Stegostoma tigrinum: one gene and its partners. The protein of the gene in region 1 binds, or shares a complex with, the protein of each later gene. Links are inferred from orthologs where the notes say so. Each region holds a gene or a part of one and is shown on either strand. Other genes may lie near its edges.

What was found.
Region 2: taf7 (region 1) and taf4a share a complex: the UniProt entries of both Homo sapiens proteins name them as parts of the TFIID basal transcription factor complex. The link is inferred for Stegostoma tigrinum from reciprocal best matches to the Homo sapiens genes TAF7 and TAF4.
Region 3: taf7 (region 1) and taf13 share a complex: the UniProt entries of both Homo sapiens proteins name them as parts of the TFIID basal transcription factor complex. The link is inferred for Stegostoma tigrinum from reciprocal best matches to the Homo sapiens genes TAF7 and TAF13.
Region 4: taf7 (region 1) and gtf2b share a complex: the UniProt entries of both Homo sapiens proteins name them as parts of the TFIID-containing RNA polymerase II pre-initiation complex. The link is inferred for Stegostoma tigrinum from reciprocal best matches to the Homo sapiens genes TAF7 and GTF2B.

The regions. Positions count from the first base shown.
Region 1 is NC_081368.1:72,085,299-72,092,726, reverse strand, and holds the start of taf7 (transcription initiation factor TFIID subunit 7), read right to left. Parts: upstream 3,004-7,428; 5' UTR 2,689-3,003; coding exon 2,649-2,688; intron 1-2,648. Other genes in the region: zgc:101583 (magnesium transporter NIPA2), read left to right, coding at 3,353-3,373. UniProt on the Homo sapiens protein: The TFIID basal transcription factor complex plays a major role in the initiation of RNA polymerase II (Pol II)-dependent transcription.
Region 2 is NC_081372.1:17,927,102-17,934,461, forward strand, and holds the start of taf4a (transcription initiation factor TFIID subunit 4), read right to left. Parts: upstream 3,010-7,360; 5' UTR 3,003-3,009; coding exon 1,574-3,002; intron 1-1,573. UniProt on the Homo sapiens protein: The TFIID basal transcription factor complex plays a major role in the initiation of RNA polymerase II (Pol II)-dependent transcription.
Region 3 is NC_081365.1:35,350,192-35,357,293, forward strand, and holds the start of taf13 (transcription initiation factor TFIID subunit 13), read right to left. Parts: upstream 3,014-7,102; 5' UTR 2,909-3,013; coding exon 2,882-2,908; intron 1-2,881. UniProt on the Homo sapiens protein: The TFIID basal transcription factor complex plays a major role in the initiation of RNA polymerase II (Pol II)-dependent transcription.
Region 4 is NC_081361.1:89,377,273-89,384,607, reverse strand, and holds the start of gtf2b (transcription initiation factor IIB), read right to left. Parts: upstream 3,016-7,335; 5' UTR 2,922-3,015; coding exon 2,902-2,921; intron 1-2,901. UniProt on the Homo sapiens protein: General transcription factor that plays a role in transcription initiation by RNA polymerase II (Pol II). Involved in the pre-initiation complex (PIC) formation and Pol II recruitment at promoter DNA.

The DNA of each region.
Region 1 (7,428 bases):
AGAAGCAAAGGAAGTGATTGCTGGGCACTTTGCTGAGATATTTGTAACATTGATAGCCACAGGTGAGATGCTGGAAAAGCAAAGGGTAGCCAACGTGGTGTCGCTGTTCGATAAAAGTGGTAAGGAAAAGCCAGGAAACTATAGACCGGTGAGCCTGACATCAGTGGTGGTCAAGTTGTTGGAGGGAATCCTGAGGGACAGGATTTACAGGTATTTGGAAAGGCAAGGATTGATTACGGATAATCAACATGGCTTTGTGGGAGGGAAATCATGTCTCACTAATGATTGAGTTTTTTGAAGAAGATTGATGAAAGCTGAGTGATGGACATGATCAATATGGACTTCACTAGGGCATTTGACAAAGTTCCTTATGGTAGACTGACTACCAAGGTCAGAGCATACGGAATATAGAGAGATCTAGTCATTTGGATACAGAACTGGTTCAAAGGTTGAAGACAGAGGGTGGTGCTTTTCAGACTGGAGGTCTGTGACTAGTGGTGTGCCACAAGGATTGATGCTGGGTCCACTGCTTTGTGTTATTTACATAAATGATTTGGATGTGAACTCAGGAGAAATGCATGTTCGTAAATTTGCAGATGTCACCAAAATTGGATGTGTAGTGGACAGCAAAGGAGGTAGCCTCAGAATAGAATGAGACCTTGGCTGAGTGAGCCAAAGAGCCAAGGAGTGGCAGATGGAGTTTAATTTAAATAAATATGAGGTGGGGCATTTTGGAAAGGCAAATTAGGGCAGGACGTATACACTTGATGGTAAGATCCATGGGAGTACAGCTAAACAAAGAGACTTTGGAGAGTAGGTGTATAGTTCCTTGAAATTGGAGTCATAGCCAGACAGGATAGCCAAGGAGGTATTTGGTATGTATCCCTTTATAGGTCAGTGCATTGAGTATAGGAGTTGGGAGATCAGGTCACAGCTGTACAGGATGTTGATCAGGCCACTTTTTAAAGACTGTGTGCAATTCTGGTCTCCTTGCTATAGGAAGGATTTAGTGTCTCAGAAATGATTTACAAGGATGCTGCCAGGGTTGGAGTGCTTAAGCTACAGGGAAAGGTTGAATAGGCTGACACTATTTTCTCTGGAGCATCAGAGGCTGAGGGGTGACCTTATAGAGGTGTATAAAATCATGAGGGGCATGGATAGGGTGAATAGCCAAGACCATTTCCCAGAGCGGGGGAGTCCAAAGCTAGAGGACATAGGTATAAGGTGAAAGGGAAAAGATTTCAAAGGGACCTAAGGGGGAAATTTTTCACAGAGGATCATGCAAGTACGGAATGAGCTGCCAGAGGAAGTGGAGGAGGATGGTACAATTACAACATTTAAAAGGCTTCTGGATGAGTGTATGAATAGGAAAGGTTTAGAGGGACATGGGATAACACTAGCAAATGGGACTAGATTTATTTAGGATATCTGCTATGAGTTGGACGGAAGGCTGTGTTTCCATGCTGTACAGCTCAATAAGTCTAAGAGCAAATCATGGGGAATCTGGACAGAACAGAATCAGTGAACTACTTCCCATTAGTGGAATAGTCAAGAACCGGATGACAATCAGCACTCCAAACGATCCCAATGCAGGGAATTTATTTTGCAGCAAGTGGTTAGGAGCAGGGATGTCCAAGAGTGCAGGAGGCAGTTTCAATTACGGTGTCAAGACAGAACTGGATATTTGTCTGAAATTTGCATAGCTGTAGGGAACAGGCAGGTTAGTGGGACCAAGTTGATCCTGGAGAGAGTCATCACAGAAACAATAGGTTGGATTGCCTTCTTCTATGCTATGACCATTCTTCAATTCTAAATCTTTTCTGAGTCCTGTCAAAAATTTTCTCATCCTTCCTGGATTTTGGTACTCAGACTGGGCATAAAACTCCAATTGAGGGCAGACTTTTTTTTAAAAAGGTGTCATAATATCTATGCTTTTGCACTCCAAGCCTCAATTTATAAAGCCCATTGTGCTTTTTCAGCCAGAGTTTTAAGGTGCTGTGCCACATTTAATGATCTGTGTGCATATGCCCCCTCAGGTCTCTTTGCTTCTGCAATCTCTTAGAATTGCACACTTTATTTTGCATTACATTTCCACATTCTTCATTCCAAGTTGTTCCTCTTTGCATTTGTCTGAATCAACTTCCTTCTGCTATATGTCTGCCTATTCCACCAGACTGCTATTTTTCTCACTGTTCAACCAAGAGGTTTCCAGTGGTGAAGATCACATCTCGTGAATAAATATAAGAAGAACTTGTGATATTGCATCTTGGACACCCAAGTCTAGGGTCATTAATATAGATAAAGTGACAGTCATAATAGTAACTTCGGGGAAGTACAATTTTGATCTTCAGACTGACAAAGGTTCACCACTGCACTGAGTGACCGCTGCCTTGGTCCCTTTTATGCCATAGGCATCAACCTTGTCGGTAAGCTAGTGATATGTCTCTACATGAAGTTAGTGCTACACAGTTTAGCCTAAACAAACTATTTCCGGTGTCGAGCTACCCCTTGTTATCTCAAATTCTTCAGCATCTGCAATTCCTACTATCTCATCCCCTGATTTAACCAGACTTGTGCAGCGTTTGTGGGGGCTGGCCTGGGGTGACAGAAACAGGAGGCGGCCAGGACCACAGGTTGAACTTCCTCACCTGTCATCTTCTTCCAGGACACGGAGCCTTTTTTATCCATATTCCTCAGGCCCGTCCGTCAATCCATCGGCCGCAGTGCCCAAGGCTCAGGATCACAAGAGACAGGGAGTGTCCAAAGGTCACAGCCCGTTGGAGGGGAGGAGGCATAGAGCAGCCCGGACTTGATTCTCGTCTCCTGGTACACAGCACTGCCCTCAACCTCGGAAACCTTCTCCCAGGGACAGGCCCAGCCAAGTTCCGACAACTCCGTGGGCGATGGGGAAGACTATTCCTGCTGCATTCGGTGGAGAGGATGGTTCCGGAGCGTGTGCGTGCGTTGTTAGGGGGTGAGGAGGGAAGTGGTCAAGTGACGGACCGGAAACGGAAGTTAGGGCGGAGCGGAGAGGGAGGTGGGTAAATGCAGCGAAGGTGAGAGTTAGAGTGGGCGGGAGAGACTGGAAGGAGTGTTAGTGAGCGGGTAAGGGTTAATGAAAAAGGGAGAGTTTGGTCGACGGCTAATGAGGAGAGAGAGGGTTTGACAGTGAGCCTGTAGAGGTGGGTGGGGTTAGCAGAGAGACAGTGGCAGCACAGTTTCTATTGGGTCTGTGAGGGCATGGAGGTGCTGCCTGTCAGTTTCGCTTCAAGCTCTTAGCTGGTCAGATATTGACCCTTCCTCTTAGAGTTCCTAAGATACTGCTTACAAAATCTATCCACTGCCAGGACCAATGGCTTCCTCTTTACCACGGGTAGGTGATGTGACATTGCATTACACACAGATTTAACTTATTGATATTTTCTAATTAACCTGTTCAGAGATATTATGGCACAATTTTCAAACAGGTGGAACTTGAATCCAGGCCTCCTGGCTCAGAATCCCCTATTCCTGGGCATTGTCCAAAGCCTGTCAAATTGACAGTCAGTAGTTCTGGTGAGATATATTGTTTACATTGAAACTCCTCTTGCAAAGTTTCTGATCTATTTGTTTTTGTTTTGCACAATTGAAATGTTTTCCTTTCAGTTTTATCCAAAAAATGTCACTGTAGAGTTGAAGATTGGTTTTCAAATGGTATGAGATCATAATTTTACTTATTTACAGTTACCTGATGTGTAACTTTATTGTGAAAAAGTTGAACCATGGTCTAGGGAAGAACACACTCACTATTCCGGACACTTGAGCATGCAACCCTGGCTAACACATAATGCAATTCTGACTGATGCTGCACTCTCAGGAATGCTGCCCTTCAGATGACATATTAAACCAAGGTTCTATCTACTGTCTTAGATGAATGCTAAAGAACCATGAACCTATTTTGAAGAAGTGAACACTGACAACATTTCAGTAACAGCACTGAAAACTTGTGCTCCAGAACTTGTCACTGAGTTCACCAAGTTATTCCAAGACAACTATAACACTGCTGTGTACTGGACAATGTGGAAAATTGGCCAGGTATGTCCTGTACACAGAGGCAACAAACCCTAGCAACCCCATGAGACTAATTTCAAACACCAGCAAGTTGATGGAAGAGGTTATTGACAGTTTAATCAAGCAGCTATTGCTTAGCAATACAGGCAGTCCCCAATTTAAGAATGACTAACTTATGAGTGCTTGTAGCTGTGATCACAATACCTTACAGGGGTGAATTAATATTAATTTTGAAGATCCAATATGTGAATATTATCTCGTCCTTAGGAATGGCTATTTTATATCATCCTGCATTATGTTCTGACTTGTGTACAAATCGACCTGTGACAGTATTCAAGAACAAACTCATTCGCAACCCAGGGACTGCCTGTGACTTGTTACCTGTCATTGAGTTTAGGATCATCTGGGGCCACTCAGATCCTGACCTTATTACAGCCTTCATTCTGACAGAGGCACAAGAGCTGAATTCCAGATGTGAGATGGGACTGTTTGCCCTTGACATCAAGGTTACAGTTCCCTGAGTGTTACATCAAGAACTCCTTACAAAACTAGTGTCAATGGGAATCATAGGGAAAATCTCTCACTGGTTGGAGTCATTCCTGATACAAAGAAGGGTGTTCATGGTTGTTGGAGGTCAGTCATCTCAGCTTTAGTATGTCTGTACAGTAGTTCCTCCGGGTGCTGTCCTCGGCCCAACCATCTTCATCTGCTTCACTGATGATCTTCACTCCATCGTAAAGTCAGAACTGGGGATGTCTGCTGATGTTTGCACGATGTTGAGCACTATTTGCAACTCCTCAGATACTGAAGCAGTCCATGTCTATATGCACAAAGTCCTGAATAATATCGAGGCTTGGGCTGATAAGTGGCATAGTCTGGTACTTAACTGTCATTAGCCACCAAGAAGAGCGAATCCACCTACCTCCCCTTAACTTTCATTTCTTCTACTATCAACTTCATGGGGTTACAAGTCACTGTAGAACATTACAGCACAGTACAGGCCCTTCGGCCCTCGATGTTGTGCCGACCTGTCATACCGATCTCAAGTCCATCTAACTGACGATATTCCATGTACATCCATATGCTTATCCAATGACGACTTAAATGTACCTAAAGTTGGCGAATCTACTACCGTTGCAGGCAAAGCGTTCCATTCCCTTACTACTCTCTGAGTAAAGAAACTACCTCTGACATCTGTCCTATATCTTTCACCCCTCAGTTTAAAGCTATGCCCCCTCATGCTTGCCGTCACCATCCTAGGAAAAAGGCTCTCCCTATCCACCCTATCTAACCCTCTGATTATTTTATATGTTTCAATTAAGTCACCTCTCAACTTTCTTCTCTCTAATGAAAACAGCCTCAAATCCCTCAGCCTTTCCTCATAAGACCTTCCCTCCATACCAGGCAACATCCTAGTAAATCTCCTCTGTACCCTTTCCAAAGCTTCCACGTCCTTCTTGTAATGCGGTGACCAGAACTGTACGCAATACTCCAAGTGCGGCCGCACTATAGTTTTGTACAGTTTCACCATAATTTCTTGGTACCGGAACTCGATCCCTCTATTAATAAAAGTTAAAACACTGTATGCCTTCTTAACAGCCCTGTCAATCTGTGTGGCAACTTTCAAGGATCTGTGTACATGGACACCGAGATCTCTCTGCTCATCTACACTACTAAGAATCTTACCATTAGCCCTGTACTTTGCCTTCTGGTTACTCCTACCAAAGTGCATCACCTCACACTTGTCTGCATTAAACTCCATTTGCCACCTCTCAGCCCAGCTCTGCAGCTTATCTCTGTCTCTCTGCAACCTACAGCATCCTTCGTCACTACCCACAACTCCACCGACCTTAGTGTCGTCTGCAAGTTTACTAACCCATCCTTCTACGCCCTCATCCAGGTCATTTATAAAAATGACAAACAACAGTGGACCCAACACCGACCCTTGTGGTACACCACTAGTAACTGGTCTCCAGGATGAACATTTCCCATCAACTACCACCCTCTGTCTTCTTTCAGCAAGCCAATTTCCGATCCAAACTGCTATATCTCCCACAATTCTATTCCTCTGCATTTTGTACAATAGCCTATTGTGGGGAACCTTATCGAATGCCTTGCTGAAATCCATGTACGCCACATCAACCGGTTTACTCTCATCTACCTGTTTGGTCACCTTCTCAAAGAACTAGTCACCTCTCAAAGAACTGATCGCCTTCTCAAACCAGAAATTGAACTGAACAAGTCATATAATACTGTGGCCATAAGAGCATGTGGAAGACTTGGCACCCTGTGGTATGTGGTTCGTCTTTTTAAATCCATTTGTGGGCTAGGCCAGCATTTATTACTCATCGCTAATTGCCCCAGAGTGTAGTTAAGTTCAGTCACATTGCTGTGGATCTGGAGTCACATGTAGGCCAGACCAGACAATGATGACAGATTTCCTTCCCTAAAAGGCATAGTGAACCTGATGAGTTTTTATGACAATCGACCGTGGTTTCATGGTCATCATTAGGCGCTTAATTCTATATTCTTATTGGATTCAGTTTTTGCCATCTGCCATGGGGGATTTGAACCTGTGTGAATGGAACATTGTCTGGCCTCTGGATTAACAGTTCTGCAGTTCTACCACTTGGCCATCACCTCCCCACCTAGTAACTCCTTAAAGCTTGTCCACAATCTACAAGGCGCAAGTCAGGGGTGTGAAGCAATACTGTCTACTTGCCTGGATGACTGCAGCTCTAACGCCCAAGAAGCTTAACACCACCCAGGACAAAGTTGCCCAATTGATTGGCACTAAATCCATAAACATCCATTCTCTCTCCACAGTCGATACTCAGTAGCAGCAATCTAACACTTAAAAAATGCACTGTAGAAATTCACTAAGACTCTTTAGACCACCTAGAAGGCCAAAGGCAGCAAATGCACAGGAAGATCACCATCTACAGCTTACCCTCCAAATGACTCTCTATCTGGTTTGGAAATAGATTGCTGTTCCTGCAATGTAGCTGTGTTAAAATCCTGGAACTCCTTCCCTGACAGCACTGTGGTTGTCCCTAAAGTAAATTTACTGTAGTAGTTCGAGAAAGTAGCTCATCGCCCTCTGAAGACCAATTAGAGATGGACAGTAAATCCGGCCCAGCCAGCAATGTCCACATCCGTGAATGGATTTGTAAAATCAAACGCACTTAAATAAAAAGAGAAAAAGCTGGTTACACCTAGCCAGTCTGACAGCATCTAACAGAAAGATATAATTTTCCAAAAAAAGTTACTTTCAGCTCAAAACAATAACTCTTTAACATCCATTGATGGTGGATTTAATTCACTTTAAAAGTTTACTATTACTCTTCGCTGGAAGGATGTGACTTTCTCTCACCTATG
Region 2 (7,360 bases), on another chromosome or scaffold:
TGAGGGATAACTTTTTCATGCAGAGGGTGGGATGTGCATGGAACAAGCTGCCAAAGGAAGTGGAGGAGATGAGTACAATTACATTTAAAAAGGCATCTGAAAGTGTATATGAATAGGAAGTGTTTAGAGGGATATGGGCCAAATGCTGCAAATGGACAACGTCAGATTGGGATGTTTGACTGGCGTGGATGAGTTGGACCGAAGGGTCTGTTTTGCGCTATACGACACTGACTCTATAAGCGCAAGATGTACGGTGAAAGCAGTACTCACCTAAAGTTTTCTTTCCTTTTAAAGGTTATGTTCAGATGATACTTGTTCAACATAATTCATAATTTTAAACAAATTTCCCATGGGAATCTAAGCTTTACTACTGTAGCTGAAAATACTCCAGATGCAAGTCAAACTTTACAACTGCAAAATTTAAGCGATCAATCTAGCTCTTCTATTTGTTTAAACAATTATAGCAAAAAAGCTTCATCTGCTGCTCAGTGCACTTTTTTGAAGTCAGCGTGATGATAACCACGTCTGATTAACTTGGTATTGATTCCAGTTTGACAATGCAGTAGCAAATGCAGGAACTACAAGTGATAATTTTGTAGACATTAGTCATAATTCCACAATATTAGATCTTAAATCACCAATTAGTACCTCTTGGTCACAGGTGACAAAAGGGAAATTGTAATACCACATAAGCAAAAATAATTTAAATAATTATTTTAATAATCCTTATCAGCTCTATTCGGTGTTATAGTCCACTCATTTCAGAGCAAAACTTCAATATTAACATGCAATTCATCAGCTGAATCAGTTATCTGTCAGTAAGCACAGCAAGTATTTGTTACTTTTAATTGATTCTTAAAAAAGTCTTTGCAGTTTTGTTCAACTTCTGAAGGCTACGGAAAGTGCTGGTGAATATTTATATACTGGATTTAAAGTTTAATAGTTGTACATTGGCAGCAGTGTTTTGCACACCGAAAAATAAAACTAACTTTACCAACTGCTAAGATTACTTACTCACATAACAGAAATTCATCAACACAGCCACGATACTGCAGGAGGTAAATGCAAGTTTCCACTACATACAAGCTATACAAGCCCTATAATGATCAATGCTTTAACGTGAACAAAGAGCTGGATCTGCAAGTGATTTCACTCTGATCACCTGGAAATGAGTAGAATTACAACTGTAGACTGTAATGCCATTAACATTATATACACAAGGTTAATTGTTCAGTATGTTAAAATTAAATTAACTTCCACTGTGACACTATCCTTTTATATTCTGCTAGTCAGAAATGCTAATTTATGAAATTGTTAGGCTGTATTATAAATCATTTGGAAAATACAAACATTTTTTAAACTGCCTATAATTTTGCGTCACTGTAGTCTATGGAGACAGTTGACAGCCCATTGCACATTACGTTTTCCCACTTTGATTTAATTGCCTCTGACAAAACTATAAGTAAATATTCTAAAGACTAGCATTAAGCTGGAACAGAAAATAAGTAATTTTTCAAATTTCTTAATAGTACAAGAAAGCACAAGCCACTGACCAATATGATCTTATTCTCACCTGGGGGAATTTGAATATTTTGAATGTTTGGTTGATGCTGTTGGGGTTGAGGGAGACGGGGAGCTATAACTTGCGGTGTTATTGTTGTCCTTGGGCCAGTGTTCACTGCTGCTGTCCTTGCCATAGTTTGGGCAATTGTGTTAATGGTTCCTTTGCCCATTCCAACTGGCGTACCAACTGATTGAGTGGAAATTCCTCCAGGATTGGATGCCACATTCTGAAGTCCACTTTGTATCGTCTGACCTATTACCATAGTACTTGTGTTTGACTGATTGTTTAAAGTGGTCACCGCACTACCAGTTGTTGATGTCAATATTCCTGCACTGAGAGTCTGCTGTGGTGTCTGTATAATTGTTTTGGGCTGTAACTCAGATTTGATAACCTGTCCACCAGTGGACAAAGAAGCGTTGCTTGACAAACTAGAAGACTGACTGTTTAAAGTCAGAAGTGAAGTCTGATGTGGAGCTCCAGTGCCACTAGGTGCTGACAAGTTAGTTACACTAACTGTTGAGTTCAATATAGTACTACTACCATTTGGTGCTGATGCAACTGGCAGAACTGGGCCACTGTGCGCTGGTGGTCTCACCAATGTCACTGTGGGTCCTGCTGCCTGTGATGAAACAACAGTTGAAGGAACATTCTGTGTGCTGACAAAAGACGTCTGAATAACAGTGTAGACAGAACTAGAGACTGGCAAAGACACTGCTGGCAACCCTGTATTAACTGTGTTTTTTACAACAGATCCAGGTCCATTATTGACCACCGTAACAGCTGGCAAGGTAGTTGCAGCTGCTGAACAAGTAAAAGTGGTGGCATTTCCTGCATTGTGAGAGTTTATCGCCATTCCATTATTCCCATTAAGAGTTTGTACGTTGGAGGTGACAGTTTTCACATGGTTGGACACTGGGGTTGCCATTGCACTTATCACCACCGATTTTCCTTGACCGATGCTGCCTGAAGCTGATGTTTCCGACGATCCTGTCACTGCCGCTACTGCCGCTGTACTCTGCTCCTGTTCTACTCCTGGAGCCTGGGACCTTGCATTATTGATAACAACACTTTGCTGTGCCCCACTCCCCGCCGTCGTACAGGGCAAAACCCCACTGCCAAATGTGTTCTGCGAATTAATCTGTGCGTTTTTACCCTCAGAGCTCTCGTCCACTTTGATTTTGGCTGCGGTGGAAACCTCAGCTCCTGCCAGTCCCATTTTGTTCTCTGCTGTTTGCAGCTCAACATTATTGCTCACCATCCCGGGTGTGTTTTCCACGTGATTATTCACCACCTGCGCCCTTATTCCGGCCTGTTCCGCCGCGTTATGGCCCGTAGCCGCCAACTGGGACTCCAGGGAGCCGACTAAGTCGCTCACCACTTTCTCATCCACGTCTGAGAAGAACACATCGTCCAACAGATCTGAAGCCCCCGCCGCCATCTTAAGGCAGAACTCTTGTTTGACTCGGACCGCGCATGCGCACCGGGCCGTGTTGTTGGGGGTGACGTCAGAAGTGGGTCGGCAGCCGCCCTCCGTCATTGGTCAGCTCCCGGTTTAAAGCGCCGGCGAATGAAGGAACGCGTTATTGGGCTGTAGAATGACTGTGCCGAGCGGGCTGGAGAGGCGCCGCCGAGCAACCACACGAAGGCAAACGCTTTAATCCCGCTTGGTCCTGCCCGGGAGCCTGACATCTCTGACCGCCTTGATGGTTTCGGCGAGATTCGCGTCAAAAGCGACCGTTTTCCGCGACTTTTCTGATTTTATCTTTGTACATTATTGTGTGCAAGATGGCTCCCTGGCTTCAGATGCTAAAGGGCGCCACACCTGGTGGTGTGTGTGGAAACAGCAACTTGTCTCATCCTCTTTTTCAGAGGACATGTTAAACCTGCTTTAATTTTAATTCTACAGGGATCTGTCAGCGCACAACTGGACTAGGCGCTAGTTTGTTCTCCAATCGAATAACTTTTATTCGAAAGAATAAACGGATGGAGCTTTCGGTTGACTTTATCTCTCCTGTGATTAAAAAAGTTAACGTTTCGAGTTACGTGGCTAGCTTAGTTCTGAAGAGTCACTGGACTCGAACCATTAACTTTTCTCTTCACAGGTGCTGGCAGTCCTGAAGCTTTTTCCAGTAACCTCTTTCTTTGCTTCTTACGTAGTAAGAACTGCATATGCTGGAGTCAGGTAGCTGTGCAGCTGGAAGAACACAGAAGGCCAAGCATCATCAGAGTAGGAAAGCTGACGTTTCGGTTCGGGACCTTCCTTCAGAAAATCGGATCTTCGATATCCGTAGTTCTCTATTTCAGTTTTTTTTTGCTGCTTGGATGTTGTATAACTTGCTTTATCAGGATGTGGTCTCAGATTGGGTTATTGTTTTTGCTTTAAGTCTTTTCTGGCACATAATGTTCAAAACCACTTAGGAAAAAAGCTGTTTGAGCATTAGTTTGTTCTGTGTTCTGTACAACAAGCTTCAGTTTAAAATTATGCTACTTATTTTCAGTCTAAGATTAGAGCTCTCCCATATCTTTGGGAAGAAGTCTGCCGTTGGCTTGAAAGGTAAGCAGTCTTTATTTCTTTGGTGCTTGCTAGTATTTAGACTAAATATTGAATGTCTGAAGTCTAAAGGCAGTGTTCTGATTTAGAATGCTGTAGTATTGTTCAAAACTACACTAATGTAAAACTAGTTACTCTAAACATCTTTCAGCTGTCAAGTGAAAGCTGTCCTTGAATGGTTTTGTGATTATGCATAAAGCAATGGACTGTTCACATTTATGGGAAACTTAACTGTGGCATCTTAAAAGGAAAATGTTTCTGATAATATCACCTTGATTTTAGTAAATAAGGGAGACCAATTGATGAAGTAGACAGAAAAGCAAAACTTTTCTGACACCCCAGCTTATAGAACACTGGACTTTAAATAGAGTCACTTTAAAAAGGATATTGTAAATCAGTGAGAAGCTCATCAAGTCTCCATGAGCATGGGTCAGAACAGAACCTGGTCATTTGGCCCACGTTGTCTATGCTGACTAGTTCTCTAAACTAGTCCCTCATGCCTCAACATTTCCCATCAATGGACCTGTCCAAATGTCTCCAATTGTAACTGTACCTGCCTCTACAGCTCCTGACTACTCATTCATGTTGTGCCACTCTGGGGGGGAAAGTCACCACTCACCTTAAAGCTGTGCCCCCTCTAATATCTGACTACCCTGTCTGCAGGGGTGGGAAAGACTGCAACTATTCCTATCCATACCTGGCATGATTTTTAGCCCTGTAAGGTCTCACCGTAGTGTCTGACACTCCAGTGGGGGAAAGGGGAAACCAGCTCTTCTCTCTTCTTCCCCCCCCCCCCCCACCCTTACTCAAACCTCTGTTTTACTAGCATACTTCAAGTATGCAAAAAATCAGCTTCCTGGCATGCTTCCCATAGCAGGACAACCAGAATTGGGTGCAATGCTGCAGATGTAATGTGTTGTACAGATGCAACATGACATCCCCCCCCCAAACTCTTGTACTGTATGCTGTGACTGAGGGTGAGCATGCCAGACTGTCTTCAGGACTTTGTGCTGCCACTTTGAAAGAACTGTACTCCTGTACCTGCAGGTCTCCTTTGTCAGATCTCCCCAGGATACTACCATTAAGTCTCTGTGGCTTAGCTTGCCAAAATGCAACACCTGTTTGTCTGAATTAAACTATCTGCTATTCCTTGGCCAACTAGTTTGTTGATCAAGGTCCTGTTGTACTGAGGTAACCACCTTCATTGCATGATCACAGAAATCTGTGATCTGCAAACTTGATCATGCCTCCTGTTCACTTCAATCATTCCTATAAATCAGAACCAGTAGACCCAGCAGTAATCCTTCCAGAACACCAGTAGTCACAGGCCTCTAAACAACCCTGTACCACCACCGTCTCCCATCAAATGACTTTGTATCCAATTGGCTCTTTCCCTGGGTCCTATGTGATCAAATGTTACTAACCAATCTACCAGGCAGAATCTTGCCAATGTAGACAGCAAAAAACTTGCTGCATTTGCCTATCTTGGTCATGTCTTCACTACAAGCTCAAGCAAATTTGAATGCTCCCAGCACAGCCATGCTGTTTATCTTCCTCTAATCAGTCATTTCCTTTCCAAATGCATAGATCCTGTCCCTCAATCCCCTTCAGCTCACCTGTCTAGTTCCCTGGCTTTTGCAGCCTTTGCTAAAAAAGCACAACACTAGCCACCTTCTGTCTTCCAGGACCTTGCCCATATTTGTCAATGATACAAAGCTCTCTGCTCTGCAATGCCCTTGGGTCCATTTGATCTGGTCCTGGGGCTTAACCACCTTGATGCACTATACCTTTACCTCGTGTGAGCTAAACTTTAAAGACACCATGAATTTGTGTACCCTAGCTTCCATGTTCTCCAGTGTAAACAAAAAACTGACTAAATCAGTTTAGGATCACATCCAGCTTTTGCAAATCCATGCTGAATGGTTTCCTTATCTTCAAGGGGCCCTAGTATCTTCCTACATACAAATTTTGTAGAATTTCTCTTGAATCCAAAGAACCTCATCAATGATCACCCATTTCTGCCTATATAGCATCACTGGACAATAATTAAGAGTGCCCCAATTTAAACCCCCCCTTCTATCCTCCCTACAGCATCTACACCCAAAATTGAGCTGCTAGCTTTCTCCCTCAGGCTGTTGTCCCAAACTAAGTTTCTAATGAAAGAATAGGTTACTTGTCTTGGTCTCTTTCTAACCCTGTGTAGAAACTGAAGATGTTGGTATGGTTTTAAATGGGTGTCTTCTCGAGGGACTATGCTGATAAGTGAGTGATTAATACTCACTAAATGTGAGGATCAGCACCACTGTTTACAGCCTGTCTGTAGTTTAGAGCCTGATGAAATTTTACCCTAGGCTGTTAAAGTTTCAAAGTTGAGCACTGACTGCATGAGTCCACTAAGTGATCCAGCAGATTGGAGCTCTGCCTCTCTTGGAAAAGCAGAGGGCTGACTGCTGACCAGTCAGCAGCACATTGGTGGAAATAAACTTTTATTGGTGTTGAGATTGCAAACTGACAGTTCAAAGGTGTGGATTAATAGCGATCAAGGAAAGACAGCACTGAGGGTGTTGTAGTTTGTGCTTGTCTGCATGCTTTTTAGCAAAGCTTTAACTTGATGTAACCTAACTCCAAGGGGATGTAGTTAACTTAGTATCTAACTTGCTGAGGAACAGGAACCAAAGCTTGAGTTTTTAATATGGAAGGCTGTTTCCAGTGCAGTTGCAGGATTCAGTACCTCTAACAATTTGGCTGCTATGAGGATAGCTATAAACTGCATGGAGACATAAATGACTGGGTGGATAGAAGTAACAAATGGAATTTGACCCTGGTGATGCATTTGAGGTTAAGTACAGTAAAGCAATCTTTGTAGAGCAAGTGAAATAGGTAAATTTTCTCTAAAATCAACATTGTCAGTATATGTTGAAGCATGACATTGGCTAGGTTCCATGCTTGTGCATTTCTAATCTAAGTTCCAGCTCTGAAAAGCATGGAGACTGGAAGGTCTTGCCAGAACTAGAAGAAATAAGTTTCCAGTCTAGGATTGAGCCTCTTTTCAAGAGGAAAAGTAGAGATTTGCTTAGCCCCTGGCTAGTGCATTGAATGGTTCTAATGACTTCTAAAGTCAGTGACTAGGAGGGTGTAGATGAAGTAACTAAACTTCTGAGTTGTAGGGGTGTGACTCTTCCTCTAAGATTAGTAGAGGCCAAGCTTTTCATCCAGCTGGTGTGGTGTTAGGAAACAAATGACAA
Region 3 (7,102 bases), on another chromosome or scaffold:
TGATTTCAATTCCTGTCACTAATCCTACTGGCTGTATATATCTCATTCCAATCCACACACTGATTGCCAATCTCTTTCTCCTTCCATTGGTTGCAGATATCCCTCCCAAGCTCTCTGTGCTAAGCCTCATTTCCTGTTTTGTTATAGCTCCTTTATCTGCAGTTTCCAGCCACAGCACTAACACTACATTCAGCCTCCCCCACAAATATGCTGTATTTTTGTCCTGCAAATGATTGGCTTTTTCAGCTTTAATTTTAAACCAATCCCACTGTTCCCCATCACTTTCTTAACACAGCAATTCAACACCACTTCAAATCCCTACTTCCACATTCATTACTACATGTGCCTTCCCAGGGATTGGTTCATTATAATCCACGCTTTCATCCTTAATTTGAAAAATAAAAATGTTTTCAAAACTGGAAAACAGGGGAAAGGCAAGTAATATTCAGGGCATCATTCTGGATGGAACTATATGCATATGCAAGAAATGTGAAAATGGGACAAGTTTGTCACAAACTGTGAAAATATTAAAAATCAAGTCAATCTTGAAAACTCAACACAACTTGTTCACAGATAATAAAATGTGAGGCTGGATGAACACAGCAGGCCAAGCAGCATCTCAGGAGCACAAAAGCTGACGTTTCGGGCCTAGACCCTTCATCAGAGAGGGGGATGGGGGGAGGGAACTGGAATAAATAGGGAGAGAGGGGGAGGCGGACCGAAGATGGAGAGTAAAGAAGATAGGTGGAGAGGGTGTAGGTGGGGAGGTAGGGAGGGGATAGGTCAGTCCAGGGAAGACGGACAGGTCAAGGAGGTGGGATGAGGTTAGTAGGTAGCTGGGGGTGCGGCTTGGGGTGGGAGGAAGGGATGGGTGAGAGGAAGAACCGGTTAGGGAGGCAGAGACAGGTTGGACTGGTTTTGGGATGCAGTGGGTGGGAGGGAAGAGCTGGGCTGGTTGTGTGGTGCAGTGGGGGGAGGGGATGAACTGGGCTGGTTTAGGGATGCAGTGGGGGAAGGGGAGATTTTGAAACTGGTGAAGTCCACATTGATACCATATGGCTGCAGGGTTCCCAGGCGGAATATGAGTTGCTGTTCCTGCAACCTTCGGGTGGCATCATTGTGGCAGTGCAGGAGGCCCATGATGGACATGTCATCAAGAGAATGGGAGGGGGAGTGGAAATGGTTCGCGACTGGGAGGTGCAGTTGTTTGTGGCGAACTGAGCGGAGGTGTTCTGCAAAGCGGTCCCCAAGCCTCCGCTTGGTTTCCCCAATGTAGAGAAAGCCGCTCCTGAGATGCTGCTTGGCCTGCTGTGTTCATCCAGCCTCACATTTTATTATCTTGGAATCTCCAGCATCTGCAGTTCCCATTATCTCTCACAACTTGTTCACAGTCCAACCAGCCGCCAGCCTCTCTCAAAGCACAGCATGAATCAAGACATAACTGACATAATCATAGGATTGAGCCTCCTCCTCTGTATCCAAGTATAATTAATCCTAGAAATCAAGACCAAGCAAACTAATTCAACCTCCTGGCCATGACTGCTCCTAATGTAAGCAATGATACAAATCACTTGAATGTGTTCATGCATCCTCCTGAGAAATACATACTTGAAATGTACAAATTGAAGGTGGCTTCAGAAAATGTGTGAAATGCATATTTACATGTAACAATTTTATGAAATGTAAATAGAACAACGCAAGTTTGAATGTCAATTTTAACTACGTGACAAGAATAAATCAAATTTAAAAACCTGAGATTCTTCATGTACCTCCACATGTTACCCTCATAGCAGCTGCAGAGGATATAGATCTGTCACACATTTCCTGCTGGAATGTGCCTATTCAAAGGAAGTCTGGAGAAAGATGCAGTGATTTTTGTCGCGGTTTGTCCTGAGCAGCTCTGTGACACAGGACTCTGTGCTCTATGATCTGTTCCTAAGGATGCATGGACTGCACCTGGAGGATCATAAATTTGGTGAAAAACACTTTGGTCTGCCGGAAACTTGTTGGTCTTCCAGAAAAAGGAGTTGATCCTGACTGAGTGCTCCAGATAGGCATATTCCGAGGTACAGGTCTACATGCTGAGGGATGCACTAAAGCTTTGGGACAGCTGCCACCAAGGCATCGTTTAGGGTCTTTCTGCCAAAGTTAAATGGAGGTCTGTTCAACCATCAGACCCTCTCGATGCTTCAAATATATGTAAATGTGATCTTGATCAAGTAAGAAAGGCCTTTGGTTTGTTTGCTGGATAGAGTCAAACTTCCACGTTTGTTTGCTTTTTCATATGGTCTCTACAGAATTGAACTGCCATAGGAGCTGCAGGTGTATATAAAGATATTTTATAAATAAAGTATATTTTTTAAATAAATAAAACACAGACTGCAGTAGTTCAAGAAAGTGTTTGATAACCAGCTTCTCAAATCAATCAGGGGTGGGCAATAATGACACCCACGCTATGATTTTTTAAAAATCCACTATTATAACCCTAATTTCTCCACACCTCATACCTTTCACACAGCACATACTCTGTTACTCAAAACAAGTAACAAAAAAATGAAAAATGCCACGGAAGCTGGGAATCTGAAAGTTACAGAAACAGAAAACGTAAGAACAAAATACTGAAGAAACTCAGCAGGCCTAGCACACCTTGTTTTCTCAGATTCTCCAGCATCTGCAGTTCCTATCATCACAGAAAAGTAGGGTCGTTTGCAGCTCCCGATTTTTAATTGTTTTGCTGATTTCAGACTATGGCTGCTGAAATTAGCAAATAGCTCAGTGTCACCGTCATTCAGGGCGTTTCGTTGCTGCTGCTGGCGGCAAGAGACATCGATCCGAGCCGTGAACATGCTGAAAGAGAGTGAAGTTCAAGAGCCAGACTCACCGGCTGCTCGTCCTCCTCGTCCGCCATCTTACTCGGAGACAGATCTCAGTCCATTCAACCATACGTCACCAGCCCGCGCGCAAAGCCGAGCAACTGTTACGGATAATGTTGAGGGGTTTCCAGAGAGACGTCCGCGTCACCAGCCACACGTGGTGGGTGTGGAGCAGGAAAGCTGACGTTTCAGGCCTAAACCCTTAATCAGAAAAGGAGTTTTGGCGCGAAACATCATCTTTCCTGCCCATAAGATGCTTCTTGGCCTGCTGTGTTCATTCAGCTCCACACCTTGTTATCACGGATTCACCAGCATCTGGAGTCCCTATTATCATCTTTACCCGTATTTATTTTTAAAGTTTTCCTTAAGACAGATAAAATGGCACAGATGCCAAATCGAAAGACTTTGTTTAAATATAGAAGTACATTCAATCTCAAGCCATGTCTTGTTCAAAACCAAATAGAATGCTCAATCTATTTTAACATTATGTTTAATCCCTCATCCTGAATCACTTAGTTTCTTGAATGCAACTGGGTGCATTTCAGAGGGCAACAAAAAGTCAACCGCAGAATCAGAATTGTATTGGTACAGAAAAATGCTGTTTGGACTGTTGTTTGCACCAGCTCTTAAAATGGGCATCATGACTCATTTTTCTACACTTTCCACATCACCTGCATGTCGTTTCTTGACTGCCTCTATTGAACCTGTCTCTGCCATAGACGATGAACTCCCAACCTGAACTACACAGTAAGTTTTTTTTTCCATATTGTGTTTACTTCTTTTACAAATGATTTTAACTCTGTGCCCCTCATTCTTTGTCCTTTAGAGTGTTACTTTGAGATAGTGAGAACTACAGATGCTGGAGTCATAGATAACACAGTGTGAAGCTGGAGAAAGACAGTAGGCCAGACAGCATCAGTGGAGCAGGAAAGTTGATGTTTCAGGTCAGGAAATTTCTGAAGGAGGGTCCCAACCCAAAATATCAACTTTCCTGCACCTCTGCTGCTGCCTAGCCTGCTGTGTTCCTCTAGCTGCACATTGTGTTGTCTATTTCCATGTTACTCTGACCACATTGCTTGTGATTTTGAAAACTTCATTAATCTCCTTTCATCCTGTTCCTCTCCAAGGAAAACAGCCCCGATTTCTTTAATCAGTTGATTAAGAAAAAACATCCCTTAAAAATGATATTGCTTTCCATGTGTTCTTATAAGGATTCCTGATAATGTGGACTGATGAATGGTATACACAACAGAAAATGTGAATAAAACAAACTGCCTGCAGGTTGGGAGAGATAGTAGGAACTGCAGATGCTGGAGAATCTGAGATAATTAGGTGTAGAGCTGGATAAACACAGCAGGCCAAGCAGCATCAGAGGAGCAGGAAGGCTGATGTTTCAGGTTTAGACAAGGGTCTAGGCCCGAAACATTAGCCTTCCTGCTCCTCTGATACTACTTGGCCTGCTGTGTTCATCCAGCTCTACGCCTTGTTATTGCAGGTTGGGAGAATCTGCAGTGAAAATTGGCAGGAACTTTGATGCAGGTTTGTGATCACAAACAGGTTAAGCTATGAAGGATAATTTATTTCCCTAAAGGACAAATGTGCCTCAAGTTTGTTTAAAATAATTCAGTTTATTTATTTAATTAAGATGTGGTAGTAGGGGGGTGGACAAGGTCAGAAATCATGCAACACCAGGTTATAGTCCAATGGGTTTATTTGAAAACACGCTTTCGGAGCCTTACTCCTTTTTCAGGTGTTTGTGAGAGGTAGTCTCAGACACAGAATTTACAAGTAACAGATCAAAAGGTTACACCATTGATGTGGATGTACCAAACAAATCTAAGATGCTGTTAAATCATTAACCAGTTGAAAATTTTAATTGATTATTATGTATACGTAAATCCCTGAATTCCTTTCAAGTCACTGTCCTGTGAGAACCAAAGGCTTTACCAGTGTCAAGAAGAGGGACATTTTAGATCAGACAATGCGACTTAGGTGTGAGCCCTTGTTTAGAATCATTTTTGTGTTTTAGTTTGGAGTCAGACTGGTTTTATTTCTAAATGAGGAATTTATAAAACACCAAATTGACTGTCTATGAATTGTGTGCTTTTTGAACAAAACAGAAAGTGTGGTGGGGTCACTGGTAGTGCAGTATGAACCCAAGATCCCATCTGAGGCTGTCCTCATGGGTACTGAACTTGGCTACCAGCTTCTGCTCGGTGACTCTGTGCTGTTGTGTAACCCAAAGTCCAACTTGGAGGATGTTTACCCGACGATCTGAGGCCGAATGTCCTTGATTACTGAAGCGTCCCCCACTGGGAGGGAACATTTCTGCCTGGCAATTGTTGCGTGGTGTCCATTCATCTGTTGTTATAGCATCTGCATGGTTTTAAAATATTGTTTAGTACATCCTCATCAATAGTGTGACCCTTTGATCTTTTACTTATAAATTCTGTGTCTGATACTACCTCTCTCACTAACATGTGAAGAAGGAGTAAGGCTCTGAAAGCTTGTGTTTTCAAATAAACCTGCTGGACTATAACCTGTTGTCATGTGATTTCTGACCTTATTTAATTAAGTTTAAGTTCCCATGTGGCAACAGAGTTCAAGTCTCCTGATCTTTAATATACTCTCTGTATTTACCAGCTCAGAAATGTGACCATTCTGCTATTGCTTCTCATCACTGAACTAGCATCAGACAAAAAAGCATTTTAGTACTCCAGTCTTCATGGCTACATGTCATATGTCTTGATATACATTTATTTCAATGTACTAGCTATGTTCCCAATTCATTTCTAAGGCAATTACTACAAAAAAATAAATTGAAGAATGGAAACTGCTTTAGAAATATAATACACCTGCAAATGCAAATTGACCCTCTCAGCAACAACGTAACTTTATGGGCAAATAGATGTATGGGCAAAACGTTGAATAATATTGCATAGGTATAAGTAAATGGATAAATCAGGTAAATAGTTTAAAGAATGAGAACTGAGAGTGTCAGGCTTAACTCAGGCTTAGCTTTTCACAATAGTTGAAACACTAAATGAGTACATTCCCTTCTTGCTAGCCCTCCTGGGTTTAGAGTGGATATTAGTGGCCGATCTATCCCCAGAAATGGAAACAGATGTTGTGAAAGGGAAGGAAGGAGTCGGAGATAGACCAGCTGAAAGTGAGGGCAGGGTGGAATTTGGAAACAAAATCACCAAACTTTTCCAATTCTAGACAACAGAGAGAGAAGCAGCACCAATGATATCGTTGTTATATCAGAGAAAGAGTTGTGGGTGGGGGCTGGAATAGGACTGGAACAAGGAATGTTCCACATACCCCATGAAGAGACAGGCATAGATGGGGCCCAGACAGGTACCCATGGTCACCCCTCTGAACTGAAGAAAATGAGGAAAAGTTAAAGAGAAGTTGTTGAGGGTAAGGATGAGTTCAGCCAAGCAGAGGAGAGTGGTGGCGGGTGGGGACAGTTCAGGCCTTTGCTCCAGGAAGAAGCGGAAAACCCTAAGACCATTCGGAAATGGGAATGAACATGTAAAGGGTTTGCATCTATATGGTAAAGAGGAGGCGGCCAGAACTGGCAAACTAGAAATTTTGAAACTGGTATAAAACAGCAGGAGAATTACGGATATACATTGGCGGGGACTGGACCAAGGGAGAAAAGACTGAGTCACGGTAGAAAGAAATGAGTTCTGTGGAGCAGAAACAGGCTAAAACAATGGGTCTGCCCAGAAAGTCCTGTTTGTAAAGTGCCTCCCACTTTAAAACACCATCCTGTTCCCTGACCAAGCGTGCTGCAGTGTACCATCAAAGCTCAGCATAAGCTAGAAGAACAACACCTCATCTTCCACTTGGGGACCCTACAGCCCTCCGGAATCAATAACGAGTTCAATAATTTTAGGACGTAAACTCTCCCATGTCCTAGCCCCCTACCGTACACACCGGGCCTTGTTATCACATAGTCTGCCATTGTACACTACCTATTGTTAGACACTAACAGTCCGCATTAACATCTATTCACCCTCCTAGCAAGATCATTATCAGTTCATTGTCTAGCCAACTACTCTTCTCTCTCTCTGGGCTCTATCCCCACTATTGTTTACTCCCTAAGCCTTTCCCCTCCTTGTTTTCTGCATATAAACCAATGTTTTCCTAACTACCATCAGTTTTGAGGAAGGGCCACCAGACCCGAAATGTTAACTCTGATTTTTCCTTCACAGATGCTG
Region 4 (7,335 bases), on another chromosome or scaffold:
CAGTGCTCAACCAATATCATTATCATATTCCTGTTTCTTAGGTTTCTCAGGCACAAATTTGCTGCCATGTTTCCTACGTTATAACAGTTACTACACTCATTTTTTTTAAAGTTTCGAAAAAACTTCATTGGCTGCAGACTGCTTTGGGATGTCTGGTGCTTATGAAAGGGCTTTAAAAATGTGCTTATTGTTTGTCAGAAGTATCATTCAGAAGATAGCCATGAAGACTGCAGAAAATACAGGAGAAACATTGAGAGAGTTAGGGCAAGGTGGGAAGGAATGATCACTACAAATGTTATGGCAATATTAAGTTGAAGCTTAAAATATTTTAAAATGCAAGTTTAAACACATACTTATGACTTAGTAAGGACCAAAACATCCTTCATGGAGAGCCACAAGGCACAGCCATAGTAATAAATTAGTACTTTGCATCTGTCTTCTAAGAAAGCAGACAATAAGAAAGCTGCAAAAAGCCTTGTAGAGAGAAAATATGTTCTTAAAAATTATCATTCCGTAAAGGTAGTTAAGTCACCTGGTCCGAGTAGAATGCAGATGGCATTGTTGAAAGAAGCAACAATAGAAATAGCAGAGACAGTCACAATTTTTCAATCTGCATTAGATACAGTTGTGGGGGAACTGTAGGATTATTAATATTAAACTCAGTATTCAAAAGGAGGGAGAGGATTAAGCCAGGAAATAGGTTTGTTATTTGACAAAATAAGCTTTCATTCAAAAAGGTGTGCGCTAATCAAGCTCAGCCAGCACAAATTTGTTATGAACACATTAACAAGGAACAAGAACAGTGCATTCAGCCCTTCGGACCTGGTCTGCCATTCAATAAAATCACGACGAATCGGTTTATAATCTCAACTCTAACTTCCCGCATATCCCAGATAAACTTTCAATCCCTTGTAAGCAAAAACCTACCTAAATATCTTTGGTACACAGGTAAAGATTCTGCATTCACTCGAAAGGAATTGCGAAGGTTTAACCCTCAGGGATTTTGAAAATAGTGTTTTCTCTGCTGTCTTAAGCAGGCAACCTCTTACTTTTAAACCCTGACTTCTTGTTCTAGATTCTCCCACTAGTATCTTCAAATTCAGTTACTACACCTGCAGTCCCTTTATCGAAAGCATTTCATCAATTGTAAAGAGTTAAGCCCACAGCACCAAACTGTGGTACACACATGACATCCTGCCAGTTTGAAAAAGACCTATCAGCTCTTACTGCTCACTTGTTAGCCAGCCCATGTTCTATGCTTACCAATGTTATCATCTACACAATCCCTGATTTTTGAACATTCATAGTAACAAGTGCGATCCCATACAGGGGTATACTAGCAATGATTTTAAAGATCTGACATACGAATGCCTCCTCATATTTATGAGTTATTGATATTGCCCTGCATTGTGTACCAACGTACACAAATAGATATGTAGATGGATTCAAGAAAGTAAGTTATTCACAGTCTGCACCTCCTTAATAAACTTATCAAATGCCTCTTGGAAGGACAATTACAACACATTCAATGTTCCTGCTGTCTACAGCAGGTGTTACTGCTTCAAAGATGGAAGGCAAATGTGCCAAACAAACGTGTACCAGACCTTCCTCTTGTTTTCTTTTAACATAAGTTGCCCGGACTAAGATTAGGGAGTAGCATCATAAAACATGCAGTGGATGCAAAATGTGGCAAAGTAGTAGACGGCAGTGAAACCAGTGGCAGTCTCCATCAAGATAGGATGGTAAAATGGACAGACGTATGGCCAAGTAAGTTAAACATGAAGGTGAACTGTTGCACACTGATCAATGGACAGAGTAAATTACAAGATTTTGAAAATCAATGACCAGCGAGACACCTTGGTGCCGAATTGAATAAACCCATAAAAGTGGTTGAAAAAGTATGATTAATTGAACTCATACAAGAGGAATAGATTAAAAAAGAAAAATCACACTAGCACATTATAAATCACTGCAGTGATTATGTTGGAGTATTATGGGAAATTTTACAGATGAGGCGCTTTGGCCCATCATGTCTGTACCACCTGAAATACACTATCTACACTAACCCCACTGTCCCACACTAGGCCCACAGCTTTGAAAATTACAATGCTTCAAGTGTGCATCCAATTTTTTTTTTAAAAAGGTAAGAGTTTACTCATCTCTACTATCCTTCCAAGCATGAAAAAACAAATTTAGTTTACTGCAGAAGCAAACCCACTCTGAATTTTGACACAGGCACAGTGTCAAGTTTAAACTTAGTTTGCACTATAATCAGTGCTTAAAGCAAGAGCACTGTTTCAGCTATATCAGATGGGACTGTAACAACTTGATACAAGAAAATGTCAGGTAAACTCTGCAAGTGAACACATACACATTACCAACAGTAGGCTTCTAAGTACTACTTTTGCCTCTACTGAATAAGAATCACATCAGCACTACACAGATGCTCAGGATGGAGTTAAACCAAGAGAAGTAAAATACCTCAGCACATTTGAGATTCAAAGCATGACATTTCTGGTTCATAGGCTGAAAGCGTGCCATTATAGATTTCCACCTTGTCAACCTAAACCAAATTACAAACATACAAAAAAGAATAGGACAAAATGGCCCATCAAAATTCACACATCACTGGTACCAACCATATCTCCAGCCTTTTAATAAAAATTCAAGCTCTTTTCCAAATCCTGGCAGCCAATCCCCGTACCGTATTCAACAAATAACAGTCTCCTATAGCAATTATTCTTTTAAATTGTCACACCCCGCCTATTACAAGATTCATCCCTAGTACCCAAGATCTGACCACCTTTTATTTTCCCGAGACTATCCACCCACAGTACCCAAAACTGAATTATCTGTTTGAGAGAGAAATTGCCACAGGAGACGTCTGAACAGACTTCTTACCTTTCTTGACAGTCACCCATCTATCTGACCGATCCTGCTGTGAAATCACTTCTGTAAATCTACTAGGCATCTGTCTCTTGTATGCCCTCAATGTCATCAAGCTTAAAAAGCAGCTTTCAACAGTACCTTATATTTTCCCAAAGAATACTAAGCATGCAAAAAAAAGAGAAAATCAAACATTTAATCTTAAATAAAATCAACCACTTAGCTGAACAATCAAATTAAAAACTCCTCCTCAGGTAGTCTAGCAGACAGCTTTCAATCCATTGATTAAAAAACTCACCCCAGAGCCATCAACTTGTAGGTCTTTCTGAAAGCTCTAAAAACACAATTGTTTTTAAAAAATCCTCCTCCGTGATTTAAATAAATCTCTTCAGCAATGTTTTAAAAGAATCTTTCCTACATGTATAACTTTTTTAGCGTATAATTTTTAAAAAAATACTTGAGCTATCCATTCAAAAGCTTCTCCGAAAGCTCAGCAAACACTATTTGGAAAAAAAAGTGTTTGCTTTTTGGATTTTTGACTACAAAAGAACCAACATAACTCAAAATAAAAATTTTTACTACATTTCAATAGTATACTATAAGAAACCTAAAAGAAAGTTTGCAAACTCAGGAGCAGCTACAAGATCCACGCTACTGTCAGTTCACCATTTTTATTCTTCGTTCCAACCTCCACCTCCCCACACCTCCAAACACAGAGATTCTGTGTCAGCGAGCACGAATCTAGGATAAGATGTTGTTTCTCCTAGAGCAAGGATTAAGGGCTTCTCAAAATGTTTAAAGCATACTGTTAAAAGGGTCAGTGAGAAGCTGGAAGTTAATGTACACATTCGTAGGAATGACATAGTTAAGGAAAAGATTAAGGCTTTACAGACTGAATATAAGAGGTTAGATAGAACATTTAAAAAACTGAACCTCAAAAGCAGTACCCTCCAATTTAATTCCATTAACAAGTTTGTATGAAGGAAGAAATAAAAGGATATAGGACATAAATCAATGGCTGAAAAAGTGATGTAATATTCAAGGATCGAGGTTCTTGGAACATCGCGGACTTCCTCTTGTGCAGAGAAGACCTGTTCAAAAAGAATGGGTATCACCTGAACCGGAAAGGGATCAATATCCTTGTGGAGAGATTTACTATGTCTATTAAGGGAAACTGTAAACTATTAGAGGGATAGAGGGATCTTAAGTAACGGATCAACAGAAAGATGGTTCTGAATCTGAAAAGAACAATTAGAAAAGACAGTAAAACCCCAAAGAATGAAGTAGCTCTGAAGAATTAAACTGCATTAAATTTCAGTGCAATGGGTCTTAAAGATAAGGTTAACAAACTGAGGACACGTTAAGGAACGTAGGATTGTGATGTAACAGCTATTATGAAATGGCTGAGGGACAAGCAACTCCATGCTCCGAGTTTCAGATGCTAGATGAGATGTAGCAAGGGAGGTGGAAGGGGGGGGAATCTGGCTTTTTTGATTAAGGAGAATATTACTACCACAACTAGAAAAGATATTTCTGAAAAATCTTCTAGTGAAAATGCAAGTTGATATTTCTCTAATGAAATGGACACAATAAGGCCTGTAGACTGGGAGCCACAGTCTATAGATGAAAGGTTTGAAAAGCATTGTAAGTCCAAAGATGTGCAGGGTAGGTGGATTAGCCATGCAAAATTGCCCATAGTGTTCAGGGAAATGTAGAATAGGTGGATTACAGGGGATGGGTCTGGGTGGGATGTTCTGAAGTTCTGGGTGGACTTGTTGAGCTGAAGAGCCTGTTTCCACACTGTAGGGGTTCTAATTCGAAGGTCAGGTAGCATCTGAGGAGCAAGAAAGTCAACGTTTCAGGCCAAAACCCTTTGACAGGACTGAGGAAGGTGCAAGACAGGTTAAATAGAACATTAAAAAAACAGAACCTCAAAAGTAGTAACTTCTGATTAGTCATATTGACAAGCTTGTATGAACAAAGAAATAAAAAGGTAAAGGACATAAATCAATGACTTTCCGGCTGCTCAGATGCTGCCTGACCTGCAGTGATTCCCAACCATACACCTAATGACACAGAGATAATGGGAACTGCAGATGCTGGAGAATCCAAGACAACAAAATGTGAGGCTGGATGAACACAGCAGGCCAAGCAGCATCTCAGGAGCACAAAAGCTGACGTTTCAGGCCTAGAACCTTCATCAGAGACGGGGATGGGGAGAGGGTTCTGGAATAAATAGGGAGAGAGGGGGAGGTGGACTGAAGATGGAGAGAAAAGAAGATAGGTGGAGAGAGTATAGGTGGGGAGGTAGGGAGGGGATAGGTCAGTCCAGTGAAGACAGACAGGTCAAGGAGGTGGGATGAGGTTAGTAGGTAGGAGATGGGGGTGCGAGGAAGGGATGGGTGGGAGGAAGAGCAGGTTAGGGAGGCAGAGACAGGTTGGACTGGTTTGGGGATGCAGTGGGTGGAGGGGAAGAGCTGGGCTGGTTGTGTGGTGCAGTGGGGGGAGGGGACGAACTGGGCTGGTTTAGGGATGCGGTGGGGGAAGGGGAGATTTTGAAGCTCAAGAAGTCCACATTGATACCATTAGGCTGCAGGGTTGTAAAGAATGGAGGGGGGAGTGGAAATGGTAACCATTTCTTTAGATGACATGTCCATCATGGGCCTCCTGCAGTGCCACAATGATGCCACCCGAAGGTTGCAGGAACAGCAACTCATATTCCGCCTGGGAACCCTGCAGCCTAATGGTATCAATATGGACTTCTTGAGCTTCAAAATCTCCCCTTCCCCCACCGCATCCCTAAACCAGCCCAGTTCGTCCCCTCCCCCCACTGCACCACACAACCAGCCCAGCTCTTCCCCTCCACCCACTGCATCCCCAAACCAGTCCAACCTGTCTCTGCCTCCCTAACCTGCTCTTCCTCCCACCCATCCCTTCCTCCCACCCCAAGCCGCACCCCCATCTCCTACCTACTAACCTCATCCCACCTCCTTGACCTGTCTGTCTTCACTGGACTGACCTATCCCCTCCCTACCTCCCCACCTATACTCTCTCCACCTATCTTCTTTTCTCCATCTTCGGTCCACCTCCCCCTCTCTCCCTATTTATTCCAGAAGCCTCACCCCATCCCCCTCTCTGATGAAGGGTCTAGGCCCGAAACGTCAGCTTTTGTGCTCCTGAGATGCTGCTTGGCCTGCTGTGTTCATCCAGCCTCACATTTTATTACCTAATGACTCAATTAGTTTTAAAGTAGTTATGGAAAAGGAGAAGCTTCCCATAAATGTTCAAGTTTTCAACTGGAGTAAGCAAATTTTAATGGCATGAGACAGGAAATTTCAAAAGTTGGTTGGAGAAGATTATTCACAGGGACTGTCAGTTCTGATGTAACACGTTAGATCCATTCTCATGCAATCCTGCATTATAAGAAAATGGTGCAGTAGCCACACCACTTAAACTAATGGGGCCAGAATCGCATTATAGCCAATGCAGGTAAAGAAAGGTTGCATACTACAAATAGCAGTTTAAATTCTTCAATCACGGTGGCTCAGTGGTTAGCACTGTAGCCTCACAGCACCAAGGACCCGGGTTCGATTCCAGCCTCGGGCGACTGCCTGTGTAAAGTTTGCACATTCTCCCTGTGTCTGCGCGGGTTTCCTCCAGGTGCTCCGGTTTCCTCCCACAGTCCAAAGATGTGCAGGCTAGGTGGACTGGCCATGCTAAATTGCCCGTAGTGTTCAGGGGTGTGGGGGTTATAGGGGGATTGCTCTGGGTGGGATGCTTCAAGGGGCAGTGTGGACTTGTTGGGCTAAAGGGCCTGTTTCCAAACCGTAGGTAACCTAATCTAATCTAATGTTAAAGCCAATTTGCATTGAAGAAACATGTTGTTATAGCAGAGCCGACTGTAAAGGGACGACTGGCAACTGAGCAGCTTTCAAAAGTTTGAAAACAACAGTGCAGAGTTATGATGCTCCGGTTAAGTTAAGGTAACACTGGCAGGACGAGGGAACAATGGATGACTAAAGATATTGAGGTTCTAGTCAAGAAAGGAAACAAATTACATATAGGCAACTGGGCTCAAGTGAATATTGAACAGTATAGCAGCAATCTCAAGATCAGGAAGGCAAAGAGGGGATATTGAGATAAGTCTTGGCAGATAAGGTGAAGGATAATACAAAGCGATGCTATAAGGAAGAGAGCAGCTAGAGAGAGAGCAGGGGTCATCTTTGTGTTGAACCTCAGGAGACAGGAGAGATATTAATGTTTTACACCATCAGTTTTGACTGTGGAGAAAGAAATGGCAGCTAGAGAACTCAAGGAAAATACTGATGTTTTGAAAACAGTTCACTTTGCACAAGAGGAACTGTGGAGGTCCTAGAAAATACAAAACTGGGTAAATCATGGGGACCTGCTCTGGTGTATCCACAGATATTGAGAGAGGTTAGGGAGGAA